Linked DNA regions of Struthio camelus. The protein of the gene in region 1 purifies or fractionates together with the protein of each later gene. This does not show direct contact. Links are inferred from orthologs where the notes say so. Each region holds a gene or a part of one and is shown on either strand. Other genes may lie near its edges.

The links.
Region 2: the proteins of PHLPP2 (region 1) and WDR48 purify together in Homo sapiens (affinity purification with mass spectrometry; 5 studies listed by BioGRID and IntAct, with this or other methods). This does not show direct contact. The link is inferred for Struthio camelus from reciprocal best matches to the Homo sapiens genes PHLPP2 and WDR48.

Annotation. Positions count from the first base shown.
Region 1 is NC_090951.1:392,248-399,723, reverse strand, and holds the start of PHLPP2 (PH domain leucine-rich repeat-containing protein phosphatase 2), read left to right. Parts: upstream 1-4,469; coding exon 4,470-4,598; intron 4,599-4,913; coding exon 4,914-5,158; intron 5,159-6,575; exon of another isoform or gene 6,576-6,721; coding exon of another isoform or gene 6,722-6,738; intron 6,739-7,476. UniProt on the Homo sapiens protein: Protein phosphatase involved in regulation of Akt and PKC signaling.
Region 2 is NC_090943.1:6,911,365-6,919,360, forward strand, and holds the start of WDR48 (WD repeat-containing protein 48), read right to left. Parts: upstream 3,014-7,996; 5' UTR 2,981-3,013; coding exon 2,933-2,980; intron 1-2,932. UniProt on the Homo sapiens protein: Regulator of deubiquitinating complexes, which acts as a strong activator of USP1, USP12 and USP46. Enhances the USP1-mediated deubiquitination of FANCD2; USP1 being almost inactive by itself.

The DNA of each region.
Region 1 (7,476 bases):
GTCCATTCTTGGGTGCTGAGCATCCACTCTTGTTATTTCAACTGCAGTTGTGTTTATTCATCACCCCACTAGCTCAAACTCCTTAGCATCACAAACTGAGCATGTGGAATCTAGACTAATGAGCTCTGAGGGTGTCCCAGATATGATACTGAGCTAATGGAAAGTCTGTGCCTTAGTTCCTGAAAGCCCCATGAGCTCCCTCATTCTCCTCAGAGATTTGCATGTGGTCACTTGTACTGAAGACTGTACTCAGTCTCTGTTCCTTTTTGTCAAGAGCATCACTGCTACAGTAGGATTAGATGAGGGGGAAAAAGAAGTAAATGGTCTCTCTCCTGGCCAACTTGTTGCAGCATAGTTGGGAGCAGAGTATCTTGTCCCTCTTGTTGCACTTGTTTTCTGTCTGCTAGAGCAGGTGAATTTTGTAGTTGGTCTGGTAAGCTTTTTGCGGATAAGTTCCTCTTCTGTTCTTGGCTTCTCCAACCACCTTTGTGCAGAAGTGTGTGTTGTGAGGTTATTCTGCCTGTCATATTTCTGAGTCAGGCTAAAGGAGATGGTGCATGTACCTGAAGGGTATTCTGCTTGAAGCCGTCCCTTGGCTTTGAAGTACTCCCTTGTGGCGGCTGAACATTCCTGTTGTCCTTGGAACTCTTTCCCTTTCTCTTGCTAAGGGATAGGGTGCTAACGTTATCCCAAAATGAAGGCTGGGTTTCACACTTTCCCCTATCTTCAATGCCAGATCCCTTTGCTTGCTCCTTGACCCTTGGTACATCTCTTAGCCTCTGTGCTGCTTCTTTGTTTTGTCGCTGGAGAGTACTCGCTTGTCCACCTCGTGAAGCGCTCTGAGGACAGAGTGCGTTCAGTCTTTATTCCACCAGCAGAATGCAAGAGTTTTTATCAGTCTGCTCAACCTGCTCCTTGCTTTAAGGTAAGGGGGACATACAGGGAGCAAGATACAGACTTCATGGCTAATCTTATTTATATCTGCATTGGAGACTTTTTAGCTGGGAGAGGTTGAATGTTTTTTTTCAAGTGAATGTATTGTCTTTTGAGCCAAGAGATGGCAAAAAGATTAGTGGCCATATTGGACCTGAAGGGGGAGGAGACATGGGAAGGTCTTAAGATTTGACTTTGTCCAGCTTTGGAAGGGACAAAATATGGCCTTGAACAACTTTTTGAAGCAATAGCAGTGAGGGGGCTGCCACCTATACAGGACCATGGATCTTTAACTCAGAAGATGCTGAAACAGCTGGCACAGGTGCTTCAGTCCCTTCCCCAGGGCTGGTACTGGCTGCAAGATGGAGCAGCAAAGATGGCTTTTTTTAGACCTGCTGGTGCGCTTTCTATGTGTTCATTTTCTACTTGGGGGCTGTGAGGGAAGAAGCTATGGGACTGCTTCCCTCTGTGAACTTTCACTCTATTCCTGTATAGTCCTTTTTCTTTCCTGACGTTGTAATTTGCATTTTACATGAATCCCCATCCCACCTCCTTCACAGTATATTTAAAAAATAAAAAAATTAAAAAAAAATGAACATGCCATTGGAGCAGGGAGCCTGGTGGTGTTCTAACTTCTGCAGACTTATTTTTGAGATGTGAAAAATTTAAATAATTGCTAAGTCTTAGGTGAGTGAGGAGCATAACGGATGTAAACATTTACATGGGATGCATTAGACTTCTGCTGTGTGTATTGTCTTTTGGTTGAAACAAATTACGAAGTGACTAACAATAAAATGAGTCAATATTCAATGATTTAAAAGCTGTGCCTTGTTGCTTTTTGCAAGTACAGGGGGATAGGCCTTTTTTGTTCTTACAGTTGGCCATAACAAGGTCGGACAATGTGAAATAATAAGCAAGAAGGTAGTGCAGATTTTTCAAAGTTTTCTGGGAAGCTTAAAGAGCAAAATGAGTGCTGACAATTATGAAAAATTATTAAACAAGTGATGTGAAATATCCTTCTAAAAGAGAGCTTGTCAGCTAGAGGCAGCAATACACGTCCAGGTGCTAGAAAGATGTGATGAGAATTGAACATAAGAAAAACTTTCCTGTATCTGCAGCCTGTCCTTGGAGTTGATTCCCTCACTAATTAAAAAGCCTCTTTTCATATTCTGTATGCCTCTAGGATGAAGACTGCTGTAATCCCATTATCCATTAAAGCAATATAAGTGCCTGCTCTGAGTTCTTCCGTGTTTTCTAGTTGCAGTAACATTGCATTAGACAATCTTCTCGTGTGCGCTCCGGCACACAATTGCACTTCCTTCTGCAAAATGTGATAGCCTCTGTATTGCCATGTGTCCATCCTTTATGGAAATTCTCTTGAGGCAAAATAGTTACAGAACTATTGCTATACTATTGCTATAATGCTGTAGCTAAAATCCATTATAATTCTACCTTTCTGTAGGGAAAGCTCCGTGAAAAATGGATTTGATTTTTTTTCCCCCCAAGCTTTTCAGCTTATTTATGTAGTATGGAGGTGTTAAGAACTAGATGGCCTTTTCTGTGACTGCCTTGGCTAATGACATGAATTAATAAAAAGTGGCTAGGACTGCACTTAACTACAGTGATGGGATGAGTTGTCTGTCAGTTCCATATTCCTCCAGATACTCACCTGAGCATTTAGATATGGTATCTAAAACTGCCAGTTTGCATGGCATCAAGAAGTCACTCGTCACAGGTCCTAGTTCTGGAGCGGGACAGATTGTTCAGAAGCATTTCCTTGTCATTCCTTCCATCAGGACAATGCTGACCCAGTTATCCCTGTGAGTCTAGCCTTAGCCCTGAAAATACTGCACGGGCAGTGCTGTGCACTTTCAGAGTGTACGCAACACATACGCCTGCAATCCTGATTCTTTGACAGCCCAGGAAGATGGCAGGAACTTTTTAAAGGAAATGTATTAGAACTAAGAGAGCGTTTGGCACAGTAATAATGCCAGTAGGGACACATAATTTGGAAAGCACATCTGGAGTTAACTCTGAAATTAGACCGGAAGTCAATGTATCGGGAAAGAATTGTGATGATGACTTAAGATTGAGCCCAGATGCTCTCTTGAGAGCGGACTTGTCGTGAGGGTGTTTGACTTGTGTCTTTGTTAAAGTTTGGAAACACTGGTGATTATGGAGAAGGCAGGAGGCTTTTGTTACCTTGTTTTTTAAATGCTTGACCTTGTGCGGGAATGAACAATACCCGCCTCAAAGCATTCTTTTCAGTCTGCTAAAACAGCATAGCAGTGAAAATTAGCATGTAATAGTTAAGACTGCCTGGTGCTGATGTGATGGACAGCAATTGCAGGAAGAAGATTTTCAGATGCTCTGCTATGTAACTTCAGCCATGGGAGGCAGGAACACGGGTTTTGCTATTGCTTGTCTGAGTAAGGCTTCATCCACTTAGATGTGAAACTTTGAGTGACTGGTAACAGACACTTGGGAGGTGAGCACCCAAAATCTTGTGATAGACGGTTCTACAAAATACAGGTAAGCTTTTATCTTCTTTCCTTACCTGGTTCGTAAGTAATTCCTACCTCTTTCCCTTCTTAAGAAATAGCTGTATAACTTGCATTAGCGAAATTGCAAAAATATCCCGAGCAAGTTATTTTTGGTCGGCTAATGTCACAGTCCTCATGTGCTGACTTTACAAATTTTTCTGGAATGTCTCCAGTTTAATGCTAATTTTGAAATACAGAAGATACCTGCTTTAATTCCAGGCAATTAAAATAATGGAAAATCCGAATCTATAATCTTAGTGAAAAATTCTAGGGTCACAGTTTGGTTGTTGAATGATTCTTAATACATTAATTTGTGTGTTTTAGCTGTGTTAAATGGAGTAAAAATGGACACTTGCTAAGCTTCGAAGCCTATTCTGAATTATTCTGGGGGTCTTGATCGGTTTTTGGCCTTTTGAACGTCAGTGCCCCGGGAAGGGGGGGACGGAAGGAAGTGCTGAGGCCGGGAGAGGAGGGGGGAGAACGAGAAGGGGCCGGCGACGCTGTCGGAAACCTTCGCTCTTGGTGCAGCGCGGGGTGCTGCGAGCGCCCCCCCCCCCCGTCCGGTCCCGCTCCCCCCCCCTCCCCCGGTCCGGTCCGGTCTGGTCCGGTCCGGCCCGGTCCGGTTCCGCCCCCCCTCCCCCCCCCGGTCCGGTCCGGTCCGGCCCGGTCCGGTTCCGCTCCCCCCCCCCCCGGTCCGGCCCGGTCCGGTCCCGCTCCCCCCCCACCCCCGGTCCGGTCCGGTTCCGGCTCCCCCACCCCCGGTCCGGTCCGGTCCGGTCCGGTTCGATCCGGTCCGGTCCCGCTCCCCTCCCCCTCGCGGTGCGGTGCGGTCCCCCCTCGTCTGGTTCCGCCGCCCTCCCGGTCCGGCCCCCCCCCCCCCCCCGCGGCGGGGCGGGACGGGGCGACGGAAGCCCGCGTGCTTCCGGGGCGGGGCCTGCGCGGGGCCGGTCCGCCGCCGCCGCCGCCGGCCGAGGTCTCGCCGTCCGGCCAGTGATGGGGGAGGCCGGGCCGGGGCCGGGGCCCAGGGCGCCGCCGGAGCCCGAGGAGGCGGCGGCGGCGGCGCCTGGCGGCGCGCGAGGAGGGGGCCGGGCGGGGCCCCGCGGCGGCATCCGGGTGCTGAAGGTGGGGCCGGGGCCGGGACCCTCCGGCGGCCGCCCCCGCCGCGCCGCCCTTGGCGGCAGCCGGGCGAGGCCGGGGGTCGGGTGGGGGCCGGGCCGGGCCGGGCCGGGCCGGGGGGGCGGCGGCGCTGCCCGTCTCGACCTTGCCGGGCCGGGCCGGGCCGGGGGGGGCGGCGGCGGCCTGCAGCCCCGCCTGGCTGCGAGCGCGGCCGGGCGGAGGGGGCGGCGGGGCCCCCCGGCGGGTCCGGGGCGGCACGCCTGCCGGAGGGGGAGAGCAGCCGAGGTAGCACCTAACGGTCTTGTTTTGCTCCCTTGGCAGAGAAACGTGAAGCGCAATGGGAGCAGAAGCTGCTTGAACAGGAGTCGGTTTGGTTCCCGTGAGAGGGACTGGCTGAGAGAGGACGTTGGACGAGGCTGCGTATACGTTTATGGAGGAGATTCTGCAGTTACTGCTTCCTCTGACTTGCGCTTGGTCCTTTGTACGGTGGACACCCCGGTATCTGAGATATGCGATGGAGAAGAGAGGGAAAACCTCTTTCTGCAGCTTCATGGAGACCTGGTCAGGTGAGGGCTGAGGAAGCATAGCTCTGCTTTGAGGAATATGTGCTGTAACATGCAGGGCTCTCTGCTTGTTGTATGCCTACATATGTCATCAGGGTTGATATGGAACAGACAGAGGTGGCCCAGAGTACTGCAGTTCATAAAGCAAGGTCGTGGTGAGCCTTTTGCACATCTTAGTCAAGCCATAGGTATTTTAGCTGGGAGGGGCTGACTGGCTCTCCAACCAGAAATAGATCCGTATTTTGTAGGTAGAGGTTACTGTTCATGTACTTCTTTATTATCGTTTGTCTTAGTGCTGTTTTAAAATCAATAAAACGTAAGCCGGTTAAGAGGCTGTAAGCGATTATTCTGAGTCAGTAAAACAGGTATAGTACTTTGACAGTTATGTCTAATAATGTTTATATGTTAGTAATTTTTTGGCTAAAAATATCTTCTTAAAATGAATTGCAAGGTAAATAACAATTAAAAGTAGACACAGAGGTAGCATAAGGGTTATATAAAGAAAGCTTATGCTTCAGGTCATGCATTTTATGTCTGCAGGTTGAAAATAGACCTTGGCATAGGGTTTAATGTGTGCGAACTTTATGCTGAGTGTATTATGGACTCCTCTAGGTTTACAAGCACCCATTAGGGATGTTAGAATTTAGACTTTGCATTGATTCTTCTGGACTTAAAATTCAGTTATAAAGTTGCTGCTCCTCTTTCCTCACAAAAAAAATGCACTATGATCCTGTTACTAAAGACTAGGCGGTAGAGATTGACATCACGAGCTGAACAGGAGCAGTATCTGGCTTCCAGAAATTGAAATGAAAATCGTATGTTGTACGGGTCCAAGGATAGAAAACATATCACGTATGTTTGATCAGATAGGGGGGGTGCGAGAGGCAAGAGATGTGGAGAATAGGATGCAATTAAAACTGACCGTTGAAAATGGTATTTAGACCTGTTTGTCTTGTCGTGTCTGGGTTATAGGAAACGGAGATAGGTCAGTTAGAAAGCCGTTAGATGAGGATAGACAGACACTTGAGTGGAGCCATGGAGGCAGCTGAAAATCTCCATTCATTGACTGAAGTATTTATAAGGAAATTAGCTTGCTCTGTACCATTGCAGAGAATAGAGAGAGCATTTAGAAGAAAGCATTGACCCCTTACTGCCGATCGCAGGAAGACTGGCTGAATGTATATCTCTCTTTTTGCGCTAGATAGCAGTGCCTGTCTTTGATTTGTGGCCAGCTTTGCACTGGATTGACAAATTGGTCCTGCCACCAATGTTCTGGAAGCAAACACCAAGTTGTAAACCTGGTTAATTCCCACTCGTAAACTTGTTGCTTCATGGTGCGTCTAGCAATTTGTCAAGCTTTATCTTGAGTTTGATGGAGAGTTTTTGATTCTTGCATGTCTGTTGCCTTTGTAATTCTCAGAATATATTTGCCACAAGAGGGATCCCTAAATTACTTCCCGTTTGAGGTGTTCTCAGTAGACAAATGGGAGTTACCAGTGTTGCTTCAATCTCTGTTGATAACCGGAAGCATGCCCAAATGGTACCTGCTTGCATTTCCACAGGAAGATGACAAAATGCTCAAGGTATCCTCATGCTCTGCTGAGATAATTCCTTCCTTGCACAAAGTTTGCTGATTACTTTAATAACGTGTTTGTGAATACAGATTGCTCAATCAAGCATCTGATTGCATTTTTCCATGAGTGTGTTAGTCTCCCAAATAGCTTCTGAATTCTCCACCCTTTTAATCTCAGTAGGTGACTTTCTGTCAAAACCTGAGTATGGCAAAGGATCATATGGTGTGGTACCTGACTGAATGCTACCTGGACAGCAAATGGAAGAATAACAGAAAACTTCTTCTTCATGTATTTGCTTTAAATATTCAGTAGTGTCCTTGTGATCTTTCTGCAGTTCCCTTCTAAGTATGTATGCAGTGGAGTCGGTTTCTGACAGAATTTTGTCTTATTCTTCACAGTGCAAGTCAAGGATCTTCAAGGTTTTCCTTGCTAGAATCTTTCTGTTAGCATCCTTTCCTATTCAAAAATATCCCTTCCTGCAGAGGGGAGGATTAGACAAAAATAGCATGGATACCTTCTTTGGTCTGGATACCCATCGCTACAAAACTTCTACTTAAGAAGGTTTGAAAACTGATTGTTACCAGTGAAGAAGAGCTACACGTGCAGTGGGAATTGTGAAATTGTTGCTGCTTCGTTTTGGCTTTGCTTCTGTCTTCTTACCACTTGCACGTTTGCCTAACAGAGCTGCCTCTCCCACTCAGTGGAAGCGGCCAGTATGCGATACGGATGCGGGTATAATGGGTTGTT
Region 2 (7,996 bases), on another chromosome or scaffold:
GCAGTAGCTTTTACAAAATCCCCTAATGAATAAGAATGTTTCACTACAGTAGATGCTGCACAAACATTACAAAGTGATGGCCTTCATTATAAAGATTTTATGGAGTTCAGTACCCTAAACGGTTCAAGACTAATCATTTTAATGACTATTTTGGAGCGCCAAGAGCTAAATCTACAGTCAACAGAAATTTCAGCGTACCAAGTCAAATGAAGTTCTTGAAGGACCTATGATGTTTCTCCTTTATGGACAACAAGTATATCAGCTAATCTGAAATTTTGCTACCCATGTGAGATTACATCTCTTACAACAGACACTATCCTAACTGATGGGCAGAATCTCCATGTCTCGAATCTGCTTTAAAAATATCAGCACACCATCACGGTGGAGGATAAGGTGAACAGCCAAAATCTGACAGTGTGCATTTCTTCTTCCTAAGCAGAGAAAATTTTCATAGACACAAGTGCTACCATAGATAATTGTAAAAAAATGGTATTTTTCAAAATTACTGGAAGGATTCCACAACATTTGGCATCAATTTCATTAAAAAAAAAGAGAGAAGAAGAAATCAAGAAAAAGCAAGCTATTTCTTTAGCATCTTTGTAGAGCAGATGATACACCTTAGAATAAGTTGTTAACTAAGGAGAGGTCTGTATTTGAATTATCAGGAGTTCCAGACCCTAGAATAAAAGTAATAGAAGCTATTGTGAATAAGATGAATTTTTCAGTGAGTCAATTGACTTCCTATTCTTTTGATTAGGTATTACAAAAACAAAAAAACTAATATATTATGGCATTTAATATATTTAAATTCTAGCATGCTTTTAATACAGGCTACTATTCAAGAAAATTAGTAGCTGAAATATTTTCTAAATGTAAGGGAGCTTTTTTGTTTCACTAGTTTCCAGTTGCTGTCATGATACAGTACTGGTGCAGAAACATGATAGAAACTCAGTGCAAAAGTGTTTTCTTATTATGTACAGCATATTTTAGTGCATGATAAAAAGTACTTAAAATTGATTCAGTAAATTCGTAATCAAGATACTGATCGAAATCACTTATGGTGAAATTCACCCTTTGGGCCAAAGGGATTTGAGGGTGGAGGGCGTCATACAGACCAGGCAGCAGGTTTGGGAGAACAGTTACAATGCAGTCACTCAAAAAAAGCTACTTTAAGCCATCTGCTGAAAAGTGGATTCATCTTGACTTAATCCACAGTAATACATCTGAAAGTCATAGCACATGGCCAGCCCTTTCTCACCAGATAGCTCCTGCTACTCCCACACCACTATATCCCCATTCCTTCCCCAGCTCAGGCAGCCTTACTATTGCAGCCTTCATATATGCATAGTTAAGCTTAAGAAATGCAAACAGCATTCCAGTCGACATTTTAAGTGCCTGATCTACATTTAAATTTCTTACCTTTATTTATGTACAGAATCTATTTTGAGGCTTAAAATGTCTACTCTGATTTAGCCCTCAAACACATACAGTTAGATACACAGAAGTGCCTTAAACCGACTGTTTTGGTTGCTTACCAGTAAAATGGATGCATCTAAGATAATAGTTCAGATTTCAGTAAACTTTAACCAGCTCTCATGTCAGGTTATGAATGAAGTTCCTCTATGCCCAAAAGGCACTCTTCTGAAAGTCTTTTCCCCTATCCTTAAAGGTTCTGGAGAAAATTCTCCTTTTTTAAAATAAGAATTCCTAAAGAAATAGGATTACACCAAAAAAAAACCACCTAGTTATCATAAATATCTTCTCCTTATGAGAAAAACCTGCAAGAACTTGCATATGACACAGGTAATGAAGTCAATAAAGGGATATTATATTTCCGATTCTTTGCCTTTTAGACATTGCCAGAGGGTTTTTTTGGAAGAGTAAGAGAATTCCTTATCTAATACAGTACAGGCCAAGTGCTTACCTTAACTGCGGAAAACCACTAAAGGCTCTAGAAAATATTACATTTCCTCTCCGCAGCAAAATACAAAAGATGCATTCAAAAACCGAACCCACCTTTGGAAGGATCCGGATACTATTTCAGAATTAATCACTATTTCTTTTGGTCATAGTGGCTAGACAGAGTTGAGACTTGAACTTGCCACTAGAGGTAGGCAGCTTTACACAGTGATAAAACATTAAATCTTTACCGCATTTAAAACTGCAAAAATATTTAAGGAGCTGGTAGTACGGAGAAAAAAAAAAAAAAGTTAAGGATCATAATAAAACCGTTTTAACCACTTCAACGTTAAAGAGAATCTTTACTTTCTGTAGGTATTTCAGCACTCCCAAACTCCAGCAAGGTTACTCGGAATACTCGTACCTACATAGACACCTGCCCTACGAGCCACACTGCAAAGCCTGATCACGTCTCAGGTGCATTAAGAAAGTTTCCATCCACTGGACTGACTTGCCCACGGTCTTCCTTTAGGGAAGGCTTAGTGGGAGCCGGAAAGGGGAGAGGGGTGGGATGCTTCAGCCCCGCCTGACCCAGCTCAGCCGCAAGCCGCGCTCCAGCCCGCCCCTGCGCGGGCGTTAGCGACCGCGGGGCGCTCCAAGGGCCGCGGCGGTGCCAGGCGGCCCGCACCGCCGGCGGGAGAGGGCGGGGGGCCTCGGGGGTGTTGGGAAAGAGAAAAAGGCGGCTGCGTTGCCATGGAAACCGCCCTATTCCCTCTCCCCCCGCCCCCGATGGCAGTCAGGGCCCAGCCCCGCGGGCCGGCGGCGGCGGCGCCTCCCCCCCCCCCACCTCGGGGCGGGCCCGCGCCCTCCGGCCTCTCCCTGACCCCCCCCCGCCGCCGCCGCCGCCGCCCGCTGGCCCTCCCCGCTCCGCTCTGCTCCGCCCTACCCCGCCCCACCCCCCCGGGCCGGGCCGCAGCCGCGCCGCCTCTACCCCCGCCCGCAGCCCCCCGGCCCGGCCGGGCCGCGCCCTCACCTGCACTTTCCGCCGCCCCGCCGTGTTCTGCCGATGATGCGCCGCCATCTTGCATGTTGACACTCTGATGTCATTTCCGAGGAGGGTGAGCCGCGCCGGAAGTCCCGCCCCTTTCCCTCCCTGTAGCCGCGTAGCGGGATGGGGAGGTGTGGCTGGCCGCGGCGTTGCTAGGGGAGCTGCCCGAGGGGGCGGGGCCTGAGGGGCGGGGCCTGAGGGGGGCGGGGCGAGGCGCGGGATGGAGGCGCGGGATGGAGGCTCCGCCATGTCGTGCGCGGGCCGAGGGCTGCGGGTTGCGACGGCGACCGCCTGCCGCGCGGGGCAAACGCTGCAAGGGAGATGCAGCCCGAGCCCTTGTGTGAGGCTGTCCTGTCACGGCCGCCTCACGTGTTACAAAAAGAGGATAGCGCTGATAGCGAGCCGCCTCGGGAGCAGAGCGGGTGCGCGTTGTTTTGTCAGACGGACGGCCATCCCCCCTCACGTCCCCTCGGGCCGCATCCTTCCCTCCTCCGTGAGGCCAGCAGGTGCTGGGCCACACCGCGCCCTGTGAGAGAAGGCAGCTCGGGGGGGACCGGGCCGGCCTCATGCTTCGGGGTGGACGTCCCGCCCCGACACCTGAGGAGCTCTCATCTTGTGGGCGATAGCTATGTGAAGTGGTGTGTGGCGGACTGCCTTGGTGGAAGACATCTTTACGGTGCTGGTTCTTACAGCAGAACTGCAAAGCAGTGAAGGTGGTTAGAAGAGGAGATGGGTGGGATGAGCAGATAATTAGTGAAAAAGAAGGATTTTTACTGGCAGAGCAAATAATCAGTAAAGGGGTAAGGAAGAAAGGGTGTTGGTTCATGTTCTTGATCAATACTGGTTGCAGCCATATGTGGAAGACTCAGTAGCTGCTTCAGTTCTGCTACAGAGATAAACTTTGTGTATTTTGATACAGATCGTGTCTTCTAGCATTGCTGAGTGCAGCAGGATCTCATCACAGCTGCAGGTGGAGGGTATGATTCTTGAAGGAGATCTTCCTTGACCAAAGCTTTCTTAACTCTAGCATTTCTACTATTTTGTCCTTATTATGGTCGTGGGAAGCATATGATTTGAGGCACCTCATAAGTCAAGTATGAAACTGTGTTTAATTTATTTCATTTTTTCTAAGATAAAATTAAACCTTTTTCTGAGAAGAGCTCAGTTGTGTATTGGCTTCTGGCCAGCAGTAATTATCAAAGAGTCTCAGATGCTGTCATGCATAGAATATGTTATCTTATCATATTCTGGGCTGGAGAAAAATGTGGCAGTGTGAAGTCTTCTGCTTAAGTAAATATTGAGCAAAGTGCCTCGCTACATTTCAGTATGTGTTAGTCCATTAAAACGCTGAAGATTTCTTCTAATTGCACAAGTTTTGTGCATACCTCAAAGTCATCTCTTACTGTCTTTGAAAGATAGTGAAATGTTTGTGTTTATGATTTTTGTGATATTCCTTGATAAACTGGAGTAATAATTTCATTCATAAATCCTAGTCATCGTTTCATAATCCATAATCACTAATGAGTTATTCATTTGATAAAATTCATCTCATCATGTTGCGTCTGCAAGGGTAGTGTTCATTTTTTGTATGTTTGGTTTAAAGTTGAATTTACTTATGGACTGAGGACCTTTTATTTCTTTACGTTATTATGGGATTTTTTAAATTTTTTGCATGTTTAAGAGCTGGCTATTCATGGATAGTCATTGCTGTTTATATATATATAATACAGTGCTTCTTAATTCTTTCAGATCATCAATTCATTAAGTTGAAGTAGAAAAAGATCTAGTGATCTCTTTATATCAGACAGTCATTGAGGTTGCAAGGGACCTCTGAAGATCGTCTAGGCCAAGGACTGTCATATTTGCCTCTTTTTTACTGAAGGCTGCTGAAGATATGAATTATGATAAGGTTCTATGCTTTATGAGAGTATGTTTAGCAAGCCTAAACTAACCCAGAGTCATTAAGTTATAAGGGTAAGATTATGCAAAAAATACGGTAAGTAAGATTTTCTTTGTTAAGCAGTAAAACTTTCAGCATTTCATCACGTTTGTCTCATTTTAGGAAAGTGATAAGATGATCTAATTTGTTAGGTTAGCTCTTTGCTTTTTGTTGTGAGACCCTCTGTTCACTTGTTTAACTGTGACAAAATTGACTCTTCCACATGCAAGCTTCCATTTTGGGTTCCTCCTTTGGGTATTGAGTGAGGTTTTTGATATTAGGGAAACTATGTTTTGATATATGAGTCCAGAGGTGACTTTTCAATTTCCATGAAAATCATCTCTGGCTAAATTGTGAGCTTCTGAAAACACCAGTGTGAGCAAAAGAAGGTTGAGCCAAAATGGAAGCAGGGAGAATTGAATAGGGTCAAGGGGTTAAGCCAGGAGGTTGACACCAGGAGAAAAGTAGGATGAAAGTGCAAGGAATAGAAATGCTTATTGGGTGAATAATCATTGTAATAGGTAAGAATATAAAGATAATATTTCCTCTGTACTGGTAGACTCAAGAGTCCGATAGCATTTCCCTGCTTCTTCTGTCTTCTGTTCCAGTCCTGCTTTGTAAGGTTTGACTTTCACAGGCTTCCAAAAAATGTTAAAAGGATTCAGAAATATGCGATAAGAATGATTTGAGGCCTGAAAAGTATGAATGACGATGAAAAATCCAGATGGATTTTTTCTACAGAAGAAGAGAGGAAACATGATAGCTATTTTCAAATAAATAAAAAGAAAAATGGAATAAACTCCTTCGTGTCCATGATGAATGAGACAAGAAGTAATGGGCTGAAATTACAGTTCAGGAAATTCAAATGAGGCACTAGAAAAACCTTTCTGGCAGTCAGGATGGTGAAGCACTGGAACACGTTCCGTATGGAGGTTTTGGAATCACCATCTGCTGTATCGAATATCTCTAGGAATTATATCAGTGTAGCTGATGCTGCCTTGGGCTATAGCAAGGACTAGATGCTTTTAGGAGATCCCTTCCAACTTTGTTTTTTCGTATAATTATGCAACTACAAGTGGAAAAGGGTGTTCGTAAAGGAAAACCTCTTTAATCCATCAAGAAAAGCCATAATAGGTTCCCTAGCTGGGAGATGAGCTAGATGAATTCGAGGCAGGAAGAAGATGCGTGTTTTAAGACCAGCTAATCACTGAAAACAAATCCCCAATGGACATGATAGATTCTACGTAGCCTGAAGCCAAAAGTATTGTAGCCAATATATAATTTATGGATATGACTCTGATGTGACTGAAATTACTGTATTTAGTCCGTATTTTATGGGATGTGAAACTTGGTGATCTTAAGTCCTATTTAATTTTTTTTGCATGGCTGAATTTTTCTGGGATTTTATATTCTGCACTTCTCCATATACAAGACAATTATTTAAGTAATATAACCCACTGTTTTTTTTTTTTAAACCTTCGTGTCAAAAATCTGCTATAAAAGTCACAAAATTATGCTTACACAGCCTGTACAATAGTCACAGATACTACTGTGGTTCTCTGTAAGTAGTGGGTTTAAAACTGCACTTCTTTCTGTTAGGTTAAGTTCTGGAAAGTTGCAGAATATCATCTGAAATAAAGTTGTAGTTGTAGAAAACGGTCGAGCAAATATCCAAGTTTTCTGTAGTACGTACGCGTGTTAAGGTTTAGAATGAGTGAGTATTTGTAGAAGTTTAATGAAAAATACTGCAAATCAGTTTACACGCCATTTTTGCTTACTGGATCAGGAGTTAGTTTCTTCAGTAGCGTGGAAGAGTGAGAGGGAGTTAAATTTGAGTCACTAAGGCAGTTGGTGGGTCTGGGCTTGTATCGCAACTAGACCGTGTATGAGCAAAAGGCTCTGCGGATATACTAGCAAAACAGTGACTGCTCATTAATTTTTAATTACTACCGCTTGATGTTGAGTAGAAACTGTAGAACTAGGATAATGGAAAGAAAACAAATTTTGAGTCATTTTGATAAATAAGATGCCCCAGCTAGCTAGACAGGAGGGATGGACAGAATTTAAACAAGAGAACTTTGGAGAATAATTATCTCAGCATGAAAGTTGATTTAAGTTTAGTTTTTTCACAGTAATCTGAGAACTACTAAGTACTGTATTATAGTTCATTCACATGTACGGCTTGTTTGTTTCTCTTTAATTTGCAAAGCTGCTTGGTATTGCAAAAAATTTACCAGTTGCATCCTTGACAAAAAGGTGAAGTTTAAACTTCAATCTTACAGGGAACTGCAGTAAGAAATAGGTTTGAAACCAAATGACCCAGTCTTTGTGAGAGCTGTGGTACTTGCCGTTTCATAATCATGCCTGGAGCCATACAATAAAAGGTGACATTTCATGAAGAAACTGTATGAAAAACAGTGCATCAGAAAGATTGGAAATCTCTCATAGATGATAATAGTAATGTTTTGCATTCTTACAACATCTTACTTTTGAGGAATACAAAATACTTCAAAGATACTAATAGTATATTTTTCAGAATGCCAAGAAGAAATAGATGGAATAACTGTCTTTAGGCACTGAGCTGATTTTCAGTCTTATTCAGTGCACATTAGATCATTATGCAGAAAGCTACTTTGTGTAACAATGCCTTTAATGTGTACTTACCATAAAAGCCATTTCCTGTTATTCTGTAAAACCAATTAGCTATTTAAAAGATAGGAAATTTCATGTCAGTGTACTTTCTTACTCTGCTGTGCTGTATGAACAATGGGAAATGGGAATCATATAAATTACTATCTTGATAAATACATTAGCTACTTTACGCTATTACATTCTTTTCTAAAAGGGATTGGGGCACACCTTTAGTTTAGCTCAGAAATGTTTCTTAGTCTCCGCCCTGCAGTTCCTCCTTAGGGTAAAATCTGTTGAGAGACAAACGCAGATCTTTATGTATTTTCTATAATATAATTCCATTTCTGTGTTTGTGTGTGTGTATTCTTTTGTGTTGTGTTTTATACATAACATTGTGCATTCCAACAATAGCAAAGAAGGCAAATCCCCCCTCTACCTTTCTTTTTGCCTGCTACTCTATGTCACTCTTGTTCCGTGGA